2 linked regions of the Lepisosteus oculatus genome follow. The protein of the gene in region 2 purifies or fractionates together with the protein of the main gene of each other region. This does not show direct contact. Links are inferred from orthologs where the notes say so. Each region holds a gene or a part of one and is shown on either strand. Other genes may lie near its edges.

Region 1 (10,826 bases), on a different chromosome or scaffold from region 2:
CTGGTGCCAGAGCTACTTTGAGCAAAACGAGTATGGATTCAGAGCAGAAGCAGGTTAAAAACAGACGAAACAAAAAAATGGCGCTCTTCCCCGCTCTGTAGGGGTTGGACCTAGGAATGATTGCTGAATTTTTGTGTCTCTCTTCTGCTGTGTGCCAGGCCTGGGACTGCCTGCACCGAGGAGCTCCAGCTGCCAAGACCCGAGTCAGTTTAGGGAAAACACATCCACAATCGTTCTCACATTCCATATTGAATGTGTTAATTCCTAATGGCAGCAGTGAGCTTCTTGAAAAAAGAGCTTAAAAGAGAAACGTAGATGCAAAATTAAATTAGCTTAAAATATTCTAAACAGAGGTGCGGCTCAACAAACTAGAGGTGTGTGGCATGAAACTTATCACCGTGTTTTGGGAAGTTGCACCTGAAAGTCTCCGAGGAGCCCACAGTTGTGAACTCCTGACTTTACAATGTCCCTGAGAACTACAGCTGTAAGTGGAGTCCTGCGTCATTCCCTGTGTCCTTGAGATTGATGACACACACACAGACCCACAGAAACCAGCACACATGCAGATACACACAGACACACAGAAAGCAGCACACATAAGATCAGATAGCCAAATACAATTTCTTGCATTAGGAATTTGTCTTTTTGCTTGCTATCCATCAAACACACAGGTACACAGACAGTTAGAAGCCTGGGGTCAGAGTGCAGGGTCAGCCATTTATATGGCGCACCTGGAGCAGGTGGGGTTAAGGGCCTTGCTCAGGGGCCCAACGGAGTAGAATTCCTCTGCCAGCCGTGGGATTGGAAACAGACACACACATAAAGACACACACACAGAGAGCTGCACACATGCAGACACACACACAGAGCTGCACACACGCAGACACACAGAGAGCTGCACACATGCTGAATCACACACAGACATACAGAGCAGCACACATGTGGTCACCCACAGACCAGTACCAGAGCCTGTGCCATTGTGATCAGAGCAGTAAAAGGAACACAACTCTTCTCAGCACGCCTTTGACAAGTAAAGGCTGTAAGAGGGTCTCCTGGACCAAACGACTTGGCAAGCCTGATCGTGAGGACCTCTCACCTGCCCTCGCCACCCAGCCCACGGACAGTGGAGTTAGGAGAATTGCAACACACTGGCTCCGCTTTGAGACAGCGAGCTGGGGCGAGCGAGCCAGGGGAGAGACGGCACAATGCCGCTCTTTGTGCGGGAGCACCCAGCGCAGAGGTGGATGGTTTCCCAGCGGATGAGACGGGGGAACAAAGCTGAGGCTAGACAATGGAACCACACAAGGCCGTGTCCGCAAAGCACTCGCTGCTTGGATAAGCCCAGGCACCACTCTGGGTGAGGCTGCAGTAACACACCTGAGCTCACACACCTCCCTCTAGCCAGAATGAGCAAGTCGCTTATTCACGTTAAGGATGGGGGCAAACTGGAGTCTGTCCCTGGCACAACAAGGCACAACCCTGGACTGGATGCAGATCCACCAGTGGGCATGCACGCACACACCGCACATACACACACACCTTAGAGACCATAATTAAGCTGGATAGCATGCTTTTGTAAAGTGGGAGGAAACAGGTGAAAACCCATGCAAGCCACTTATGCGACATGCATAAGTGCAACATGCAAACTCCACATAGAAGGGTCTCCACTCTGTAAGCCAGCTCAGGGGTCTGTGGATCTGCTGGGGCTAACCACCACGTCACCATGTCACTTCCTCGCCGGGCTCTCCCGGGTGCTTGTTTATTTAGACAAAGCGATGGGGGAAGCTCATTAACTCTGTCCTCTTGGACTTTCTGTCTCAGCTACCAGTGAAACTGCACACCAGCTCCTGCGTTCAACACTGTACAAACACGAGGCCTACAGGCGGATCAATGAAGAGCGAAGCCACAGCTAGCAATCTCCCCACTCCTCAAGAAAGACGTGCCGAAACATTTAAAAGTCACATCCAGTCACAGCTAGAATGCACAATGATTCTGACACTCTCAACTCGCTGGAGGAGCAGTCAAACTCCCTGCGGGCCGTTTAAATCCAAAGGAAACACCGTGAGCGTTCAGCACATACCCTTGACCTTTGGAACCACACACACACGAACACACAAGCAGCGCCACAGACCTCACCCTCTTCACCCAACAAACTCAACACTCCGGACAGCGTGACGGCAGCAGACTTCCGCAAGGCTCTGCAGGGCACAGCCCAGCACACGGCCCACAGGAGGGCTCGTTTCAATGCCCCGTGACAGGGCAGAAAATCGCAGCCTGCCTTCATGCCACCCAGACCGCGCCGGTCTCTGTTGAGACACGCAACACACCCGCCACAAGACTCTTTTATTACGTTGACCAAATCCAATGATCAAAAACAGTAATTAAAGAACTTTATTCACAAAAAGTAAGCTATTCAATTTGTGGTTTCGCCTGCCATGACGTTACATCATTGTTCTTCCAAACAATGATACAAGGAACCAGTGACTAAAGCAGGCCTGGCCCCGTTGCAGACAGGGCACGCACAGAAACCACCGGGGCTCCTGCAGATCGTGGCACTGCGGCTCACAGGCCACACACAGCGCTGGCGAGAGAACTGACGCCCTTCCAACCATCCACAGCACTGGGCAATTCCCATCCAGAGATCCTCAGACCAGTCCGGACGACAACACTGCCTCATGTATTTCACATACCGCAGGTGCTCGGCAGGAGATCCATGTCAGTGGCATTACAAAGAATCAATTCTGAAATAGATGCAGATGCGTGTGAACAGGCCTGGGGCTAAATAACCACCCTGTGTAATTGTTCTTGACGGAAACAGGTTCACACTGAAAACGTGGGCATGAAGTGTGCATCTGTGGCAAGCCCTAATTTGGCCTGTCTGATTACAAGCACTTTAACTGAGTTTAATTACACACCCGAGAGTGTTACAGAGGCATGTCATAGTACCACCTTCAAAGAAAGCTGCCTACCAGCAGAATAGAAGACCAAAAACTATACACTACACTTTGTATAATTACATCTTACTGAGTGTTTTTCGCTGCGTTTTTTTTTTTTTTTGGGGGGGGGGGGGGTATTAAGAACGTGTGAACCTCTTAAATTCTGAAATGTCAGCTGGTAATGCCACACAATTAGGTATGATCCCTACTGAGATTCTTAAAGAACTAATTCAGCCAACGAACTCCTTTCTCGGCACAGCCCGGCCAACACGTTTCAAAACAGTAATGTCAATGTCTCTAGCGGTTATACGCCATATATAGGAAGAGGCCCGCGAATTATTTCCTGTCAAATTCATCTGTCATCTACAGGCAACCAATTTAAGTACGTAAATAAAGAACATGTTTCCCTTTCACTGGGTACTAAGCAGGCAAGGCTAAAGAAACGACTAATCGCGAAACCCACCGCCGGGTGAACTACAGCAATCGATAGAAATGACACTGCGGGCTGACTTCGCGATCTCAACTAATCAATGCGCTTTACCTGTTATCATGATACTACACGACGCATGTACTCTGGCTCACACAAAAGTGCTTATCCTTATTACTGGCAGAACGGTGCCTTCTACTGTGGCTGTTGTAACACTACAAAATAAATAAAACATGTCGAGTTAGGTCCTCGTCTTTGATGTCATTAACAAGAGCAACAGAGATCCAGCCGAGTCGCACAGGACAGACAGACCGCACGCGTTTGTCCGGGACTGCGGGCTCACAACTCCGGCGTCACCGGCTGCAACTACAGCTGCAGCTACATGCGTGAACCCCGTTTTTAATCCAGCCCCCACTCCCGGGGGGAACACGGAGCACAGACGGGTCTCACCTTTTTGACAGGTTTGTGCGAGGTGACGGCGCTGAAGGCGGAGGACAGGTCGCCCATGTCGCTGGTCTTGCCCACGGTCATCGCCGAGTATTTCTCCGCCACATTCTCGCTCTCTTTCACTTCTTTGCTGGCCTGCTTCATCTCCAACTTCCCGTCGCCCGCGGAGTCCGACATTGTACGCTAGTTGGATCTTACTACTGTACTACAGTGAAGAGTAGCGCCAGGTCTGTCTCTGCTGAGGCTCAGATTACTGCCTTCGGAACTGACACCTCTTCTCTGCGGGCAGGAGAGGCGGTCCGGCTCTACTACCGCAAAAGCGCATACGTTCTTGTAATTGTGGAAGGATGTAAATGCACTTGTGTGATTTTTGGTCTTTTTTTTTAATAATTACTGCTGTCGTCACTGCAGCCTTGACTTTGCCTTTCCTCCGACGCGCAGCTACGCAACACCAACCGGCTGCGGGCGGCGCGCGAGGAGGGCTGGAAGAGAGACTCGAGTCGAGTCGCGTCGCGCGGGCGGGGAGTATGGGAGGCGCTGGGGCTGTTAACACCGGTTCACAGAAGCTGGTGCCGGCTAGGAAACTGCGACCGTTGTTTCGCCATTGTGGCTCACACGGCGCCTTAGCAAGACTTCGTGACACTCCAGCGCCAGAGCTGTAATGGCGTCAGTTGCAGAACCATGCAATGCTCCTTGAACTTAAAAATTAAAGCAAAGACGACTGCGGTATGCGAGACATTGCGATTTTACATTGTTTTTTAAAATAAAAAGTGCACCTTCCTACAATGATACTTAAAAGCGTACCTTACTTTGCGTTTATATATGTATAGGAAGGGTACAACAATCCGTTAAACCCATGCAATTCCTTATCAATTTAAAAGCAGCAAGCTAAAGATGGATAGCCTCTGTTTCACAAAAGCAGTACTTCATTGAGCCAGAATTCAACTTTAATAAAGGTGCACACTATTCGTAACGATCAGCTAGGATCATTAAAAACATTATGAGTTTGCAAATGGACAACAGAATCTGTCTGCATTTCTTCAGGATACAAATCTGCACATGAAAGTCAATCGAACGTGTAACTGCTTTATCTTAAGCAGCGTCTACAAAATTAAACGAATGAGACGCGGTGATTGCTTAGTTTTTTTTGTATCATATTTGTATCTGAAAAAAAAAACGCTTTTCCTGTGAAACTGTTTGAAGTGTATGGTTTTGAACATAAGATCATAAAAGTTTTTTTCAGCCTTCAGAAATAGTTTATTTTATTGGTGTCTGCCTGTTCCTTGTATCTACTACATTCCAATCCTTTGTTTTTATTTGTGATAATTTTGTCTCCTTTGTCACTATAAAGCTACTTTTAAAGGCGCTGTATAAAGATGATTTTATCCTCAGTTCCAAAAATGTTTTTTTCCCAACGTGTTTTAACACTAAACTTGGTATATCTGCATTTGACGTATTTTTTTGTCATATTAAGATTGGTAGCCAATTGATTATAAACAATTGTCATGGGAACACAGCGAATTCCGCTGTCAATTTTAACCAACTGGTAATCACAATTTTACAAACCCTTTGGTTTGGGTAGGGATCTGTTTGTGTCATTGTATAAGAAGTCGGTTCTGAGAGAGTGTAAGTGCAGAGCTCCTTCACCACAAACCCAGTATCCCATTTACCGGTATTTTCTCAGCCTCGTTGCGCAGCTGTTCCTGAAATTAAAAACACCGCGGCGCCACTTAGCGAACCGAAACCGAATTATCTGAACCACCGCTAAGCACGCACCTGAGTCAGCGACTTCGGGGCAGGGGCGTAGCCACGGGTGGGCTTGAATGATCCTAGCCCTACCCAATCAGTCCAAAGTAATTTAAGATCCCCCCCCACCCCCTTGTTTGTGTTCCATGATTTGCTTTTTAATGTTACGTGTTTGATTTTTTTTCATCGTATGTGATTTGCTATTGGCTCGCTTTATCTTTTGTGACCAATAAGAAAATTATGTAAATGTAGTGCGGCGGTGCATGTGTAGCCGTAACCTAATTGTCTATCGCTGTCGTCAGACGACCAGACTATCTAGCGCTAGGTTTCTATTTATTAGCCAACATGGCAAAACAAATGCATATATTTAGGTTTTTCAAAAAGCCGCCTGTAGATGACCAGACCAGTCCCGAAACAAATAAAGACACATGAGATGCTACAGGCATCTTGGGTTTTAGGGAGAACAGCCTGGCTTCCCGAATACAAGTGTTTCTGGAACGCAAGAGCACGCGTTTGCTTGTAGCAGCTCGATACATGCTCGACCTGTAGGAGTTAAGCACGGAGAGGTTTTAAAATTTCTCCTGTAAACAAATGATAAGTTTTGGAATGAATGCCTAACATTAAGAAAATATTGACGGATGGATGCGATTGTGCATTTTACAGATAACTATTCGGATCACCTCTAAATGCCCTGCAGTATTTTTACGTGAACGACGTTTACATAGCTAAAATACATATAAAGTATGTATTTGACGCTTTTATTAGCAGACCTTTCTTGCAATTAAAGGTACGATTAATTGGTTAGCACTGTAATGCGACTATAACAATTCGGTGTTAAGTCTTGTGGGAAGTCACGAATATCCAAATTAGCTGTCTTTTGGCATCGAAAATAGAATACTAATGTGGGTTTCATACAAGTTTAAAAGCATCATGAAGGATCAAACAAGATCTTCAGAACTTAATATTTTAATAGCTTCGCAGTTTTTCTTCTCATGGCTCCTCGCTCGATATTACCCTCGGATGCATTTACTCCAACCTCTGAAACGTGTGTGCACGTTCTTCTGGTATGTTATGCTCAAGTCCGCTCAATATTTAAAGACAAGGTAAAAGCTCCGGGAAGTTGCCCCCCCTAGAGACAGCAGAAATGATGAAACCCACCTCATTCGTTAGTGCTACGTTTGTGGCGTTAAAAGTAGCGTTTGTGCTGCTTTTGTTTCCGAGATATAGCACCTTGTTTGTTTGGGGGTCGTGACGTCACTCAGCACCCCTTCAATGTCGTATGGAAACCAAACCGGTCTCATTCGTTAGTGCTACGTTTCCTGCTTTCGTTCCCGACATATAGCGCCTTGGGTTTCCGGTGATCACGTGACCATGCACGGTGACTTTGACCTCCAGTGACCCCGTTTGCCGAGTTCAAGCGCTCTTTTACAGTTTTGCTAGTACCCTTAACATTTTAATAACAATCAATATCCATAAACATATAAGTCTCCTTAGATGTGAATAATACGAAGACATGACGCATGCCAACAAGTAACCATCTATGACATAAACCTGTGGTTGTAATGTACGTAAAATCACCGTGATTGCAAGATCTATGGTTTTTATTTTGTAAGGCACATTTTCCTTTTCTTTTCCTATCGTGACACACTGTTGCCAAACGCGTAACTGTGTTTGATACCATCGCGACAAGACCTCCGCAGCACGTCATGATAGGGACCCCATGTATATCGCATGTATATCGCGGCACGGCAGTGTATATCACGACTGGTGCCTTGCTTCCATGCCACCCTGGCACCGCTGTCGCAACAAAGGTCTCATATCAGGACATGATATACCCAGATAAGATATGTCGCGATATAGACAGGGGGTCAGCAATCCTGTCAGGGTATATCCCATCGCAACATATGGACTCCATGTCGCGACATGGGGGTGGTGCATTTTGTCACGGTATGTCATATCGCGATATATGGGCTTCATGTCACAACATGGGCATGGCAGGTTTTTTAATAATAATGATAATAATAATAATAATTTTTTTACATATCACCATATATGAACTCCATGTCGCGACATGGGGGGGGGTATTTTTGCCGGGGTATGTCATATCGCGATATGCAGGCTTCATGTCGCGACATGAGGGCGTGGCATTTTTGCCGGGGTATGTCATATCGCGATATGCGGGCTTCATGTCGCGACATGAGGGCGGGGCATTTTCGCCGGGGTATGTCATATCGCGATATGCGGGCTTCATGTCGCGACATGGGGGCGGGGCATTTTTGCCAGGGTATGTCATGCAGGCTTCATGTCGTGATATGGCGGCTGCGCATTTTTGCCGGGGTATATCATATCGCGATATGCGGGCTTCATGTCGCGACATGGGGGCGGGGTCGTTTTGTCGCGGTATGTTATATCGCGATATATGGACTTAATGTGGCAACAGTGGCGCCATGACAGTGATACGCCAGTCGCAATGGGTATCGCGATGTCACTCTTATCGTGACCTGCTATCGGAGTCGTGAACGCGCTGCGGATGCCATGACATTCGTTGTCTGCTATTCAGTTTTTACCTCAGTGCGACTTCTCTTGATTGATTAGTAATTGGAAACCAATGGATGTGCTACTGTATATCCAGCGTGCTCATACAGCACACACGATTAACCGGGGCTACAGTATTTTTACCAAGAAGAACATCCATCGCCCATGTCTCTACATGTTCTCGGAACTTCCGCTGTGACTCTTTACCCAATCAGAGTGTCAGAATTCTGACTCTTCATCCAATCGCGGCCCGAGCTGTTCGGGGATTTAGCCAAATACGGGTCTGTTCGAGCTAGCAGCGCCAGGTGGATCGCTTGTTTACTGTCAATGAGAATCTATTTTTAAAATGCTTTACTTATTTACAAAATAACTACATCGGCTTATTTTTTAACTTCTTTATTGATTCACAATGTCACGTACTCTTCTAAATAAATATTTTTTTTTTATTTGCGATATAACTGTCGATGCTGCTTTCTGTAATGAATACATGATATTGGGACAATTTTAATCGTATATTTAAGGTAGGGGGAAACACCTTCTGCTTTGTACTTCAAAAATGAATAGAAATGTAAAGTCTATGATCATTATATCTCGCGACACGTCCTATCTGGGTATATCATGTCCTGATATGAGACCTTTGTTGTGACAGCGGTGCCAGGGTGGCATGGAAGCAAGGCGCCAGCCGTGATATACACTGCCGCGCCGCGATATATATGCGATATATATGGGGTCCCTATCATGACGTGCTGCGGAGGTCTTGTCACGATGGTATCAAACACAGTTACGCGTTTGGCAACAGTGTGTCACGATAGGGAAAGAAAAGGAAAATGTGCCTTACAAAATAAAAACCATAGATCTTGCAATCACGGTGATTTTACGTACATTACAACCACAGGTTTATGTCATAGATGGTTACTTGTTGGCATGCGTCATGTCTTCGTATTATTCACATCTAAGGAGACTTATATGTTTATGGATATTGAATGTTAAGGGTACGAGCTAAACTCTATCAGAGCGCTTGAACTCGGCAGACGGAGTCACTGGAGGTCAAAGTCATCGTGCATGGTCACGCGATCACAGGACGAACAAGGCGCTATACCTCGGGAACGAAAGCAGCACAAACGCTACTTTCAACGGCACAAACCGGCACAAACGTAACACTAACGAATAAGGTGGGTTTAAGCGTTTGTGCCGTCTGTATGGGGGGGGCACCTTCACGAAGCTATTTTAAATACAATATTTCAGGCGGAATTTGAATCTTGCGTTTTGTTGTCCTCATAGTGTTTTGCAGTAAAATATTAACTTCAGAGTAACTCGTAAAACTACTCAACAATCTAAAAGCAGGCACAGGAACCAAGCAACAAGTGAAAATTAGCTCATGCAGCTTTTCTTTAGCTAAAGACAAAGTCCTCATATGAGAGACCTTTGCAAACTAGCTGTCATTTGAACGGGAATTTGCCGACTCTAGAGACAGCGACGAGATTATCGCCATACTCAATTCCAAGCCCTGACGCCTGCGTCTGGTCTAGAAAGTCAAAACCTCACAACAGAAGTAGGCACTGACTGTTTGTGTGTGTCCGCCGTGACACAGTAGCGTTCGGCAGCCTAGGTAATTGTTGCTAAACCTGTGTGGTGAGAGAGAGACGGTATGTATATATAAGGTTCCGCTAATTCTGCTGTTTGATTATACCGCTCGAGGATTGCATTGTAAATTGGAGGGGTGCCCCTATGCTGGCAGGCCGGACAGTTAGAGCCCAGGGCCACCCACTTTTGCAGAGGCCCACCCAAAAATCAATTCCTGGCTACGCCCCTGCTTCAGAGTCTAATTTCTCAGTCGTGCGTGACAGCCACCATGCGGTCTCCAGCTGCGGAAGGACTACCTAACCCAAATACCACGTCTACTGTACAATGACAGACTCGTTACTCTTGAAAAACCCAGCCCAATACTGCTGTTTTAACTTTTTCATAAACGGTCAACACTTCAGTTAGGGCTTATTCCACTAGCGGACTGTTCAATTCTACACAGCACAATTCTGTTCGAACACGCCCCTTAATTCTGTAATTGATAATTGGTAGGATCAATGATAATTAAGGAACATGATGTATGAAGATTTTGAAACTGCGCACATGGCCGACGCCAGGGGAAAATCTGTAGGGGGCGGTGATATTTTGGTTGAAACGGAGCCCTTGCAACTACCCAAGTGAAATCTCGCAACCATGCCACTGATTAGTGCTTCATGATAGAAGACATGACGAACAATCTGGTATTTAGCGATGATGTACAGTTTCACGTTCATCAGCACTCTTGCGGTTACCATTGCCTGGAGTGACAAAAGACCATATGAGCTCAGTTTTGCAGCTACATCGACGGTTACGAGGTTCTGAATCGTTTAGAAAAAATAGTTGTAAAACCAACAGAAAGCACAAACTTCTACAACTACAGTCCTGGTTATATAGCGATTGTAAGTGTAAGGATAAACTCCTGCAAGAAATCGGACCCCCTGAGCAAACAAGATCGTAATGTTGACACTATGTAATATGTGCCGTTCCTGGACGGACAGCCCTCCTGCACATCATACAGTACGATGTACTAACTGTGAATTCGGGGTTAGTGTAGTTATCTGACCAACTATTTTTTAGGGCGCAAGTTAAGTAAGCGAAAGTGTACAAAAATCCGTTTGTCCACAACTGAGGGGGCGGGACAGTTCAGTTGAGGGGGCGATGCCCCCTTTTGC
Region 2 (10,621 bases):
TCACTTATCTTCCTCCACACCAGTCCTGCTTTTGCCAGATATGGAAGATGATTCTGAATTATTTCTTTTCAGAAGAGGAATATACTGTTATAATGGTTTGGTATTAGTGTATTTTACTGTATAGGATACAGTCAGAAGCTACATCATCCTGCATCTCTCAACTGCCAACCCACTGAAGCTAAGCAGGTGTGAGTCTAGCCAGTATCTGGGAGACCTCATGGGTCTGATTTCTGCTGGAAAAGGTTTTAGGGGGGACCAGTAGGGGGCACTCATCCTGTAGCCTGTGTGGGTCCTAATGCCCCAGTATAGTAATAGGGACACAACACTGCAAAAAAGGCACCATCCTATTTACAAGATGAGATGTAAATCTCTCTGTGGTCATTAAAAATCCCTAGTGTCCTGGCCAAATTTCAACCTGGCCTTTACCAATCATGGCCTCCTAATAATCCCCATCTGTGAATTTGCTTCAGCACTCTGTTCTCCTCCCCACTGATAGCTGATGTGAGCACACTGGTGCAATATGGCTGCCATCATCCAGGTGGAGCTACACATTGGTAGTGGTGATGGAGGGGAGTCCCAATTACCTGTAAAGTGCTGTGAGTGGAGTCCAGAAAAGCTATAGAAGTGTAAGAAATTATTATTTCTGTAACAAGTGGTAAATAGCCTTTACTTTTTTTTAAAGCAAATGTGGGATAATATGACATGACCACACATGATCATTCCAAAAAAGAATCTCCACTTCTTTTCCCAAACATTGTCTCTTTGTTCCGCTCTTCCTTCTTCTGAGTAGTACAGAACTCTGCTGGGGAGGAAATAACCACAGGCTGCCAAAAGCTCTTTGCCGGACCTAGGAATCCTGAACAGACAGTGCAATCTCATCAACTAAAGCTAATGCCATTTGTTACCAATGACTAAAGTGTTGACAAGTTTTGCTCAGTTACAGTAGGTGTAAATAAGTCAAAATGCAGACTTCAAATCAGCAGTAGACATAGAAAAAAACCCCAATATGTACGTTTGATTTGAGCCGGGACTAAAGCAGCTTACAGCAGTTCGCCCACCTGATGTCTAAATGCTAGATAAAGCAGTTTAATCCCCTTGTCTGGATGAAAGCTGGGACATTTGCTAATCGCAAATGCAAACTGTCAGAAGTTAATCACAGGTGCACAGTTCGCAAATCACCACATCATACTAATGGTGAGCCTGCTAAAGACGATGAGTTTAATACTGGAACACTCTGCACTACATTAGTACAAAAGAGAGTAAAAGAAAAATATATATTTTTCAAATACTACGATTACTGGTTAAAATTCAGGTCATCCCACATTGATCGAAAAAAGTAACATCAAGTCATAGAACTTCGATCTCCATTTGCATATTTCACTTGTTTGGCATTTATCACAACTATTGTGTAATGATTCCACTGAATTAATATCCCAATGTTCTGTGTTATTATTTTAACTCAGAGTTTCCCTTGACTTTAATGGCTGTAATTCATCCTTATCTTCAGAATACATCATGAATGTTAACCTCGCAACTACTTCTTATAGAAACTGGTCTCCATCAGAGCAGAGCAGTTACAAGCTCCACTTACTGACTGAAATTACCAGAATTGCAATCTTTTATCAAGATAACTAACATAAATCAGCATGTCATTGGAAATTATCTCCCCCCTGCTGTATAGTGTAGGGGAAACAATGTAGACCACTTTTAAAAGCCCTGAATCTTTTTATCCTAAAACCATGTCATACATTAAAAGCAATCCACAAATCAGAACTACATATCCCTGTGTGGTATTGGAAACCAATCTTTACTTTTGTCTGGGTATCTGACGTTTTGTTGAAGTGAAGTACGGTATGTTAACAGAATTTAATTTGCTAAAGCAGTGAAGACCATACTAAGGAACTTTTTGGTCGGGGTTGCCCCATTGCAGACAGAAGCGAAGGTTTTACATGAAGAGAGAATTAAGACTCCCAAGGAAAGCAAACACCTACAGTAGGAGTCTTTAAAGGGACTTCTGTACCACCTGTTGCCCTAATGCAGTAATACGCACTCCTAGTTTATGAAGGGTGGTCAGTCAAGAGTTTTTATAATCAACGCAGTCATTAAGTCTTCAACTACAGTAATTACATTCATTTAGGCCATCGAGGTTAGTTTTGGTCTCAGAAACGTTACTCAACATTTACTCAACAGGACCGGGGGTGTGTGTATGAGTAACGTTCCGGATTGGTGCACCATTCTCGGTTACTCGGGCTGGAGAGAAGTGGGATTTACAGTAGATATGCATCAGGTCTAGCAGCAACTTGGCTTTTAAGGGAAGTTGGAGTTGTTGAAATATCACTCAAAAGGAAATAGCCGATAAGTCGTTTTAGTGTGAGAAAGGGAGTAAAAAAGCCGTGAAATAATAGTTAAGTGCACTCGGCAAGCACATTTCTCTTAACTGATACAACTGTACGGACAGGCGAAGGCAAGGCTTTCCAAGTGCTTGTCTGTTAGATTCCCATAGGGCAATGTGAGGAATATGTATCTTTTACCGTCTGTTTAACTTACACAGAACACAATATTATTAATTACGACAACAATGATGATGTCCCGGATCCACAGCGCTTTGGAAAGCATGTTTATCGATACCAGTGTGTGGTGTTATGCAGGTATTGCACAAGCTGTCAGTTAGGAATTCTATTGATTTTGCAATTTACAACTGATGTAGTTGATGAGTGCTCCCAACACCAACACTGTGACCAAACTACAGTATCCAAATGCCGATTGCGAGACGAGATTTGCCATCGTTTGACAATTTTGAAAAAAACATCTTTCCGATTCCCACCCCCAATCTATACAAAAATGCCCCCTGCAGAGCCACCCGCATGCACCGTGTGTAACGTCCGGTTTTCACTTGCAAGTCGGGGGACCTCCACAACTTTCCGCCCGGGACGAGCTTCGGGACTGACGGGACCGGATGCTTTTCTTACAAACCCAACTTACGCTCCCCTCCGGCTCGTTACACACACGCACACGCTACGTAGTAGACGCGGCGCACCCGGACACCGTCTCCGCGGTGAGCAAACCACCAGGTTCCCCGGCCAACCACGACAACTCTCACAGCAACAGCGGCGGCGGCAGTCAGCACAACATCCCCACCTTCCAGACATTTAAAGATTGCCACACTCCCTTGGAAAACAGTTTAATTCATGACAGTTAAAAAGAGAGAGAGAGAGCGAACGAGCGAGCGAGCGAGCTTGACTTCCGAGTTCAATTGCGATTTGGGCACAACTCAAAAATAAAAAAAAAAGTCCAAGACGTTTTGATCATTTAATATTACGTCAGGAGTCAATGCATTCGCTCAGCTTCGCTAAGCAATCACACGCTTTTCAAAGGGGGTGCGGGCAACATGCAAATACGTTACAAAACAGTGTTAGGAGAAAGCTCTCTTTTTACAGTACTGTATCACGTATTATTTTGATTAAATGCGGATAGTGGGTGCATTTTTCACTACCCAGGCAGTTTAGCGCATTAAGTTTGATCAGCGGCACCTGAAGGTCGCCAGAAACCACGCAAGTAAAAAAACAAGACGTAATATTTGAAATCGTTTACTCACAGAATGGTTAACTCCCCACATCAGGACGCTCAGCAGAGGGTCGCTGGCACGGAACAGCTTGACTTTCTGAGCAACAAAATGTTTCTTCTTCGTCTTCGTTTTACTCGCAATTGATGAGGCAATGCCACTGACTGTAGCCATGTTTTACACTTAATTTTGCCTAATAATGACAGCTCACGTTCAAATTCAGGGTCGGTCTCTTTAACAACAGAACAGACCGAGAAAAAAGTATGTACACTTATGCTGCGCCTCCTGTCTTGGTTCTTCTTAAGATGTCAAGAGCCTATTCTCCTTTTATTTTTAATGCAGCTGCAGAATAAGCTCCTTACCATTTAGTTATCGGCATATCTAACCTAAAACAGCAGCTCCCCTTAAAAATAACCCTCCCCACCTTGCTTCACTCCAACATTCCCCTGTGAATACTTTATTGACGAGCGCGTTTGATACCCAGAATTAAAATACGTCTTCAAATAAAACAAAAAAAAACTGAGATTTCATGCAACATACACAGCTCAATAAACCAATGCTCTCAGTCCTCTGTGCTCTCCCCACTGCGTACCAGTCCTGCACTAAAGCAAACACTTTCCCTCTTCCTTTTGCACTGCTCGTTTCCTCCAAAAACCGCTGCTGGCAAATGATGGACGTCCTAAAATAAAAATATCCGCATTGCAACCGTGTTACAATTTTGAATTTGTAGGTTTAAAATAAGCAGCCTCTGTCCCAGCGCTTCCGGCCGGGTGCTGCTCTGGTGACTGACAGCCCAGGGAGGCGGAGGCCGGCGCTACAGCATGCAGACCGATTATTAATGCGGTTGACGTTTTCTAGCGTAGAAAACAGCGGCGGTAGGTAAGAAAATAAAAACGTTGTAACGGTATTTTGCTGCCTTTACCGTTTCGTTCTCAACCATAACTATAAAACTAGGAATAAAGTTTAAAAAAAGCCAACCGCACTCAAGTATACTTTTCGTCTTTAATTGTCATTTTCCATTTATTCACGCCTCTACTTGGGCAGACGTGACTTAGATAATTATTTAATTACTTTATAGGTATTTCATAAGTGTACACAAGACGAATGCCGAACTTTTTTTTATTCTAGTTATCATGTATTATTTATATATGGGACGTGAACATTCTTTAAGACTCGAAATTAAACAATTTAATTACGCAGGGGGGCACTTAAAACAAAAAAATATTTTGTATTACAAAGTGATACAAAAGCGTAGGTGTTCAATGATGAACTGTCTGATTTCACCAATCACAAACCAAAGCTACAAAGCTTAAGGGAGAAGACGGTAGACAGCTGACTCACGAAAGATGCATACAGAACTAATTCTTCATCACAAAACCTGTGGCTGATTATACTGTACGAATCCGATGTCTAATATAAATACAAAGGGTCAGACTAGTATTTTTAAACGGTGTTAGGAATGTAAACAGCTGCTTTATTTGTATTTGCAACAACAACAACAGCAACATTTGTTCCACATTTACAGTACCTGTTTGCAGTGGTTTCTGTTGTTCTACTTTTGCTACAGTTTTGTGTCCAAGAGTACTGTATGAGAGCAACACTGTAGTGTTTATGGTTAGTACTGACACTTAACCTAATAATAATTTACATCTGTATTTAATTAAATTAATACTAAACGAAAGTGCTGAAGTTGGATTACATTTATATTGTTGTCTGATTACCGAGATGAAACAATCTAAAATGATATTAACAATTAAATTTGCACAAGAACAACGGAATGTGTTCTAAATACAAATGGTGATTTGACTGGAAGTGCAGTTAATAGTGTTTTGTTTTGTTTGAAATATTTGATTGATATTTGTCATTAAGAATAGTTACACATGAGGGATTGTATATCTTCTTTAAATTGTGTGCAGTAACTTATCATTGTTGATAAACATCCCCCTAACTCACACAGAGAGAAAAGACAGCAATCGTGATTAATCATCATTGGGCCCAATGTATGGAAACAAACTTACGATTCACTGTAGAAATCTGTGGTTTCAATAGTTTAATAGTTAGTCCATGTGACAAACACAAAATAATAAAATATATCTTTCAATGGTTAAAGACCCAAATACCTTTACATAAGAGGATGGCATTATGATAAGATATTTAGTCTTTTTAAACTTCCAGAATCCCTGCAAATAAAACTGCCTCTTACTTTATAAGAAGTACGAAATGGTACTTTAAATATCATTACATTATGGTAGCCTGTTTAGTTATTCTTGACTTTCTTTAAAAGTCATTAGTAAAACAATGAAATCTAAAATGCATTAAACATGTATTCATGTTTCAATCAAACTGCATACAATCTACAGTAGTAGCCATTTAGTAATTCCTTTTAAAGTGTCACTGAAAATACCACAACACCAGTTAGGCACAGTGGATTTGAAGAAGGCAACACAAATCAACAGTCAACTAAAGTATCGCAATGTAGAAAACAAGAAGTGTGGCTTTATACACAAATAGATTGAGGGAAAGCACAGAATAGCATTCCTCAGTTGTTGAATTTGCGAGTTCTGAAATAAGGTGAAAAGTAAAATGGTGAAGTAACCAGTTAAAGAAAGAGGAAATGATCTGCCTGACCAATTGCTGTGGTTAGGCTACACTCTATAACTGAGCAACACTGCTACGGGGCTTCTCTAACCAGTGCCCATTTCATGGTAAGAGGTTGCAAAGAAGGACAAGGCTTTCAAAAGAAATAAAGAGAAGGGTTTATTTTTCCATGTTCGCAGTTTTTTATATTTGTGACTCCTTCAGGCAGTATTTAATGTAAAATTGTCTTTATTTCAGTATAGTGAATACTAGCTTTGATAACTATTGATGGTACAGGACTCCAAAAATACATCTTTATTTACAAAAAAAAAAATCTAGGGAAAGGTTGTCAATGATCTGTTGAAGTATCTTGTGTGTTTAATCCCCCAATTGTGTATCATATATACAGTACATATAATAAAACATGACTGACACATGATGGTCTCTAACCTTTCAACTGAAGTATTTGAATAAGATCACTGTCAAAGGGCAGCAGGGTGCTGGGTAGCAGCCACACAAATATAGGTATAGTTTACACTTTGGTCTAGTTTAAGACAAATTAATTAATTTAACCAAAGACCTGATTCAGACCTAAACTCAAATCTCTTATCACAATTTGTCATCATTCTATATATTTTATATGCTGCCCTCCCTCAGTAATGAACATTCTACCATTTTCCCTTTGAAGTGGTGACAACACTACTTTTCCTCTCAGACCTTTGACTCAGACATTGCTAAAGATTGCTTGCAGCTCTCCATCGGAGACAAACCAACCTTTAAAGGTTAAAAATGCTGACCTGGTGACACTGTGTAGGGGTAGTGGACTAGGGCACTGTCGACTCTAGACAGGAATGGACTGTCTGGATGGAAGAGTCAAAGGTGGCCACAGTGAGAAATGTTTTGTGCAGCAAAACCAAACATTGCCTTCAAATAAGATAACCTCATCCCAGCCATCAAGCGTGGCCTCAGGACCCAGCCATCCCAGCCATCTCAGTGCCTCAGGACCGAGAGGGCTTGCCATCGTTGATGGAATTACATTCTGAAGAAGAAGCCGAATCTAACACAACGTATGGAAATATCTTGGAACACTGGTTTAGTCATTATTGAGCCACTTTCTAACTGCTTTATCCAATTCAGCGCCGTGGAGGCGCCAGAGCCTATCCCGGCAAGCAACAGGCACAAGATGGGATACACCCTGGATGGGACACCAGTCCATCGCAGGGGGCACACAGACACAAGCATACACTCACACCAGGGCCAATTTTCCTAGAAGCCAATTAACCTACTGTACCAGTACAGTGTCTTTAGACTGTGGGAGGAAACCCATGTAAGCATGGGAAGAACATACAAACTCCATGCAGACAGCACCCCGGGTCCAGAATTGAACCCAGGGCCCCAGCGCTATGAGGCAGCAATACTAACCACTATATTACCCTGCCATCACATTATTGAACATGACCATTTATTTAACATACTACGTTTTACCTGGTTTTAAATTGTTGGAGAGCAATAACAAAAATTCTTCTACTTTTTAATAAGTTTAAAAAAAACTACAATACACAAGAAGAGAAAAGTTACTCTGAAACATTTCATAAGGTGTAGATTTCACCCTTTATTTTTTATATACTTAAATTTTTGCCTAGTTTGAACATGGTACTGATAAAAGAGGGACATGATGATTAGTTTATATCTTTAAATCCTAACCGATGCTACTGTATATCTCGGTGCATTCAGCCTTGAGAGAGAGAAATGCAGAGTGGAAGAGATCTCGCACTGATGTTGTCTGTAAGAATCCATTTCCTGTATGCTCTTTCTGAAACTGAGCAATACAAACACTCCTATACTATGTCATCAATTTGCAAATGTTTACATATCCCATGCCTCCACTGTAACAAAGATGCAAAAATAGGAGGTACAGTACATAATTCTGTCACTGTTATATGAAAATCATGCACAGGTGCCACAAGTAACATATAACTGCTCCAGGTCTTATAGGGAAGCAACTCTAAAAAGTAAATACTGAAGGAAAGCCTGTTCTGCTTGTTCATCTCTCACCCTGAAGACAGTCTTGACACCCAAGGACTGTCCTTTAATAAGAACATCCATGTAAGACAACAAGCGAAACCTTAGCATAAACTCTGCCTGCAGCACAGACTAAGAAAGACGTTCAATGACTATCAGGCTATATGACTGAGAAGTTTGTTTTTATTTGTATGAAAAGCACAAAATTAATTAAAAGTTATTAAATTAATGGACAATGTGGTAAATGAATATAGTAAAAACACCTAAAAGGTGGTATAATCCAATACAACAGCTAATATACATAGTAGAAACTATATGCTTATTATGGGGGCATTTACTATAAAACAGACTATTTATCAATGCATACTACAGTACATCATAAAAGGACATGCATCACAGAATGCACAGTTTTGTCATACTCTGGTACACAGGTCTACTAGTACTAGTACAGTTTTAAAATGCATATCAATAATTTATTAAATCTCTGTGTATGTACAGGCACTAAAGCTCTCTTAAGTAGTTACAACGAACGTTGTACAGCAAGTGTATGTACTCTACGAGCGTGAACATTCTCTTCAGTAGTTACAGTACAACAAGTGTAGTATGAGTGATATAACCTACAGGTAAACACATTCAGGAATCTGGTTTTGTACATATGTCTACTGAAATTTTCACAGTACCTTTGAAAAATAGTGCTGTGGGTAAATTTGGTGTGATATACTGGTGGACAATGGAAATACAAAAGTCTACGTTTTCCACCAGTACTTCATTGGACACATACAGTATAAGATTATTTACAATTAACATCGTGAGCCAGCCCAGAAGTGATGATTATCCAGTAGTACAATGGTACACTCATAAGGTCTTTCCATGTCCAGATTTTTATCATGATCAGAGTCCAGTAGAGCATCTGTGAGACTTATGTGCCAATTCCATCGACAGGAGACTGCTACTGGTCCACTATCCCACTGCTGGTCCATCCCATAACTGTCTACGCAGAGGGTGATTGGATACATGCCTCAAACCTGGATTGTGTGGATTGCAAATGACTAAATTCACCATGATTTCTCTTTACCAGTGTGCCATGCATCATATTGAAGATTATAATGATTCTCTTGACTGCATTTTGGTTCTACTTTTCTATGTATTTTTTTAGCTGTTAAATATAGAGATATAATCGACTAGGTGTGAGTGTTTAATTTCTTTTGTGCATCAGCTGACATTCATCTCTTATTTTTAATTGTAAAGCTTGTTTCTAGGTACTATGAATCACAACACTATCTCTTAAAGCTTAATTACAACTAGTTGTGAATGAGAATGTACAGTAGATACAGATTTACAATACATTTTTTTACTTTTAAATGCTCATAACTGGTTTCATTCCATGTATATCAGATGAAGAATAAATCACAAAAAAAATGCGTTTAATATCAGTACCATGGGCTGGTGGAATAGTACATTTCATTATCACTGTGGCTGTTTTCTGAATCTTCCTTCAAATATCAATTGGCAAATCTTACAGCAGGTGCTGTAAACCATTGATGGTTTTTAATTACAATTTTCGAAGACAAAGATAGACCATCCTGACTCCAGGTTTTTGAACAGGACTCAATAGTGGCTAAGTGTTGAATGTTTGACAATCTCTCTTTGTCCTAGGAACCACACCTGTAGTCCTAGATAGATGAGCTATAAGGTTCATTTACAGAGGACAGGTCTTGAAAGCGCTAACTTTTGTTGTACTTCTTAGCTACAAAACAGATGAAAAGAGATTTTATCACTTCTCTTCTCTTCCCCTTACTTGGAGATGCTCTCCTTGCTTTGAACAGTTCCCTAGAAAACTGCTGCATTTACTCACAGTAAGGACATCTGCCCACCTCCAGTTCTCAGTTCCCAGTTCTACTCCCTCTTGAAAACTGAGACTTGAAGAGTAATATATGGTGCACAGGAATCCACTTAGTGTCAGGGAATTTAACCCAAAATACTGAAACAGCAGATGCCCTGAACCTTATAGGAAGGCTACCAAGGTGCGTACATTACAGTCATTTCTTTATTCTTGAGGATTTCCGAAATGCCAGCTTGAAGCTTTATTCAAACAAGAAACAAGGGTGTTTGGCCTATCTTTAGGTACTCAGGCTCTCCACACTCGGTAGTGTAACAACAAATAGCTGTAAAGACATAGTCTAATAAGTAAACATATCTTTCTTGCAAATGGCAGGATTTAATCTTCGAAGATTCAAAGGTATTTCAGAAAAAGTTCAAGTCCAAAAAACCAACTGAGTGCCATTTAAAGAAACCTAAACAAAATTATTATTATTATTATTATTATTATTATTATTATTATTATTATTATTATTATTATTAGTCAGGCGTAGAAGGAAGTTAATAATATGTGTCACATTTGTTGATTTGTTGAGTATGCTGAGAACGTTTCCTAGCAACCAATGACAACAAAGAATCCGG

Evidence for each region.
Region 1: the proteins of pip4k2aa (region 2) and ahcyl1 purify together in Homo sapiens (co-immunoprecipitation; 3 studies listed by BioGRID and IntAct, counting the BioPlex papers as one, with this or other methods). This does not show direct contact. The link is inferred for Lepisosteus oculatus from reciprocal best matches to the Homo sapiens genes PIP4K2A and AHCYL1.

What each region holds. Positions count from the first base shown.
Region 1 is NC_090700.1:39,786,271-39,797,096, forward strand, and holds the start of ahcyl1 (S-adenosylhomocysteine hydrolase-like protein 1), read right to left. Parts: upstream 4,786-10,826; 5' UTR 3,988-4,785; coding exon 3,814-3,987; intron 1-3,813. UniProt on the Homo sapiens protein: Multifaceted cellular regulator which coordinates several essential cellular functions including regulation of epithelial HCO3(-) and fluid secretion, mRNA processing and DNA replication.
Region 2 is NC_090701.1:17,339,691-17,350,311, reverse strand, and holds the start of pip4k2aa (phosphatidylinositol 5-phosphate 4-kinase type-2 alpha), read right to left. Parts: upstream 4,375-10,621; 5' UTR 3,737-4,374; coding exon 3,596-3,736; intron 1-3,595. UniProt on the Homo sapiens protein: Catalyzes the phosphorylation of phosphatidylinositol 5-phosphate (PtdIns5P) on the fourth hydroxyl of the myo-inositol ring, to form phosphatidylinositol 4,5-bisphosphate (PtdIns(4,5)P2). Has both ATP- and GTP-dependent kinase activities.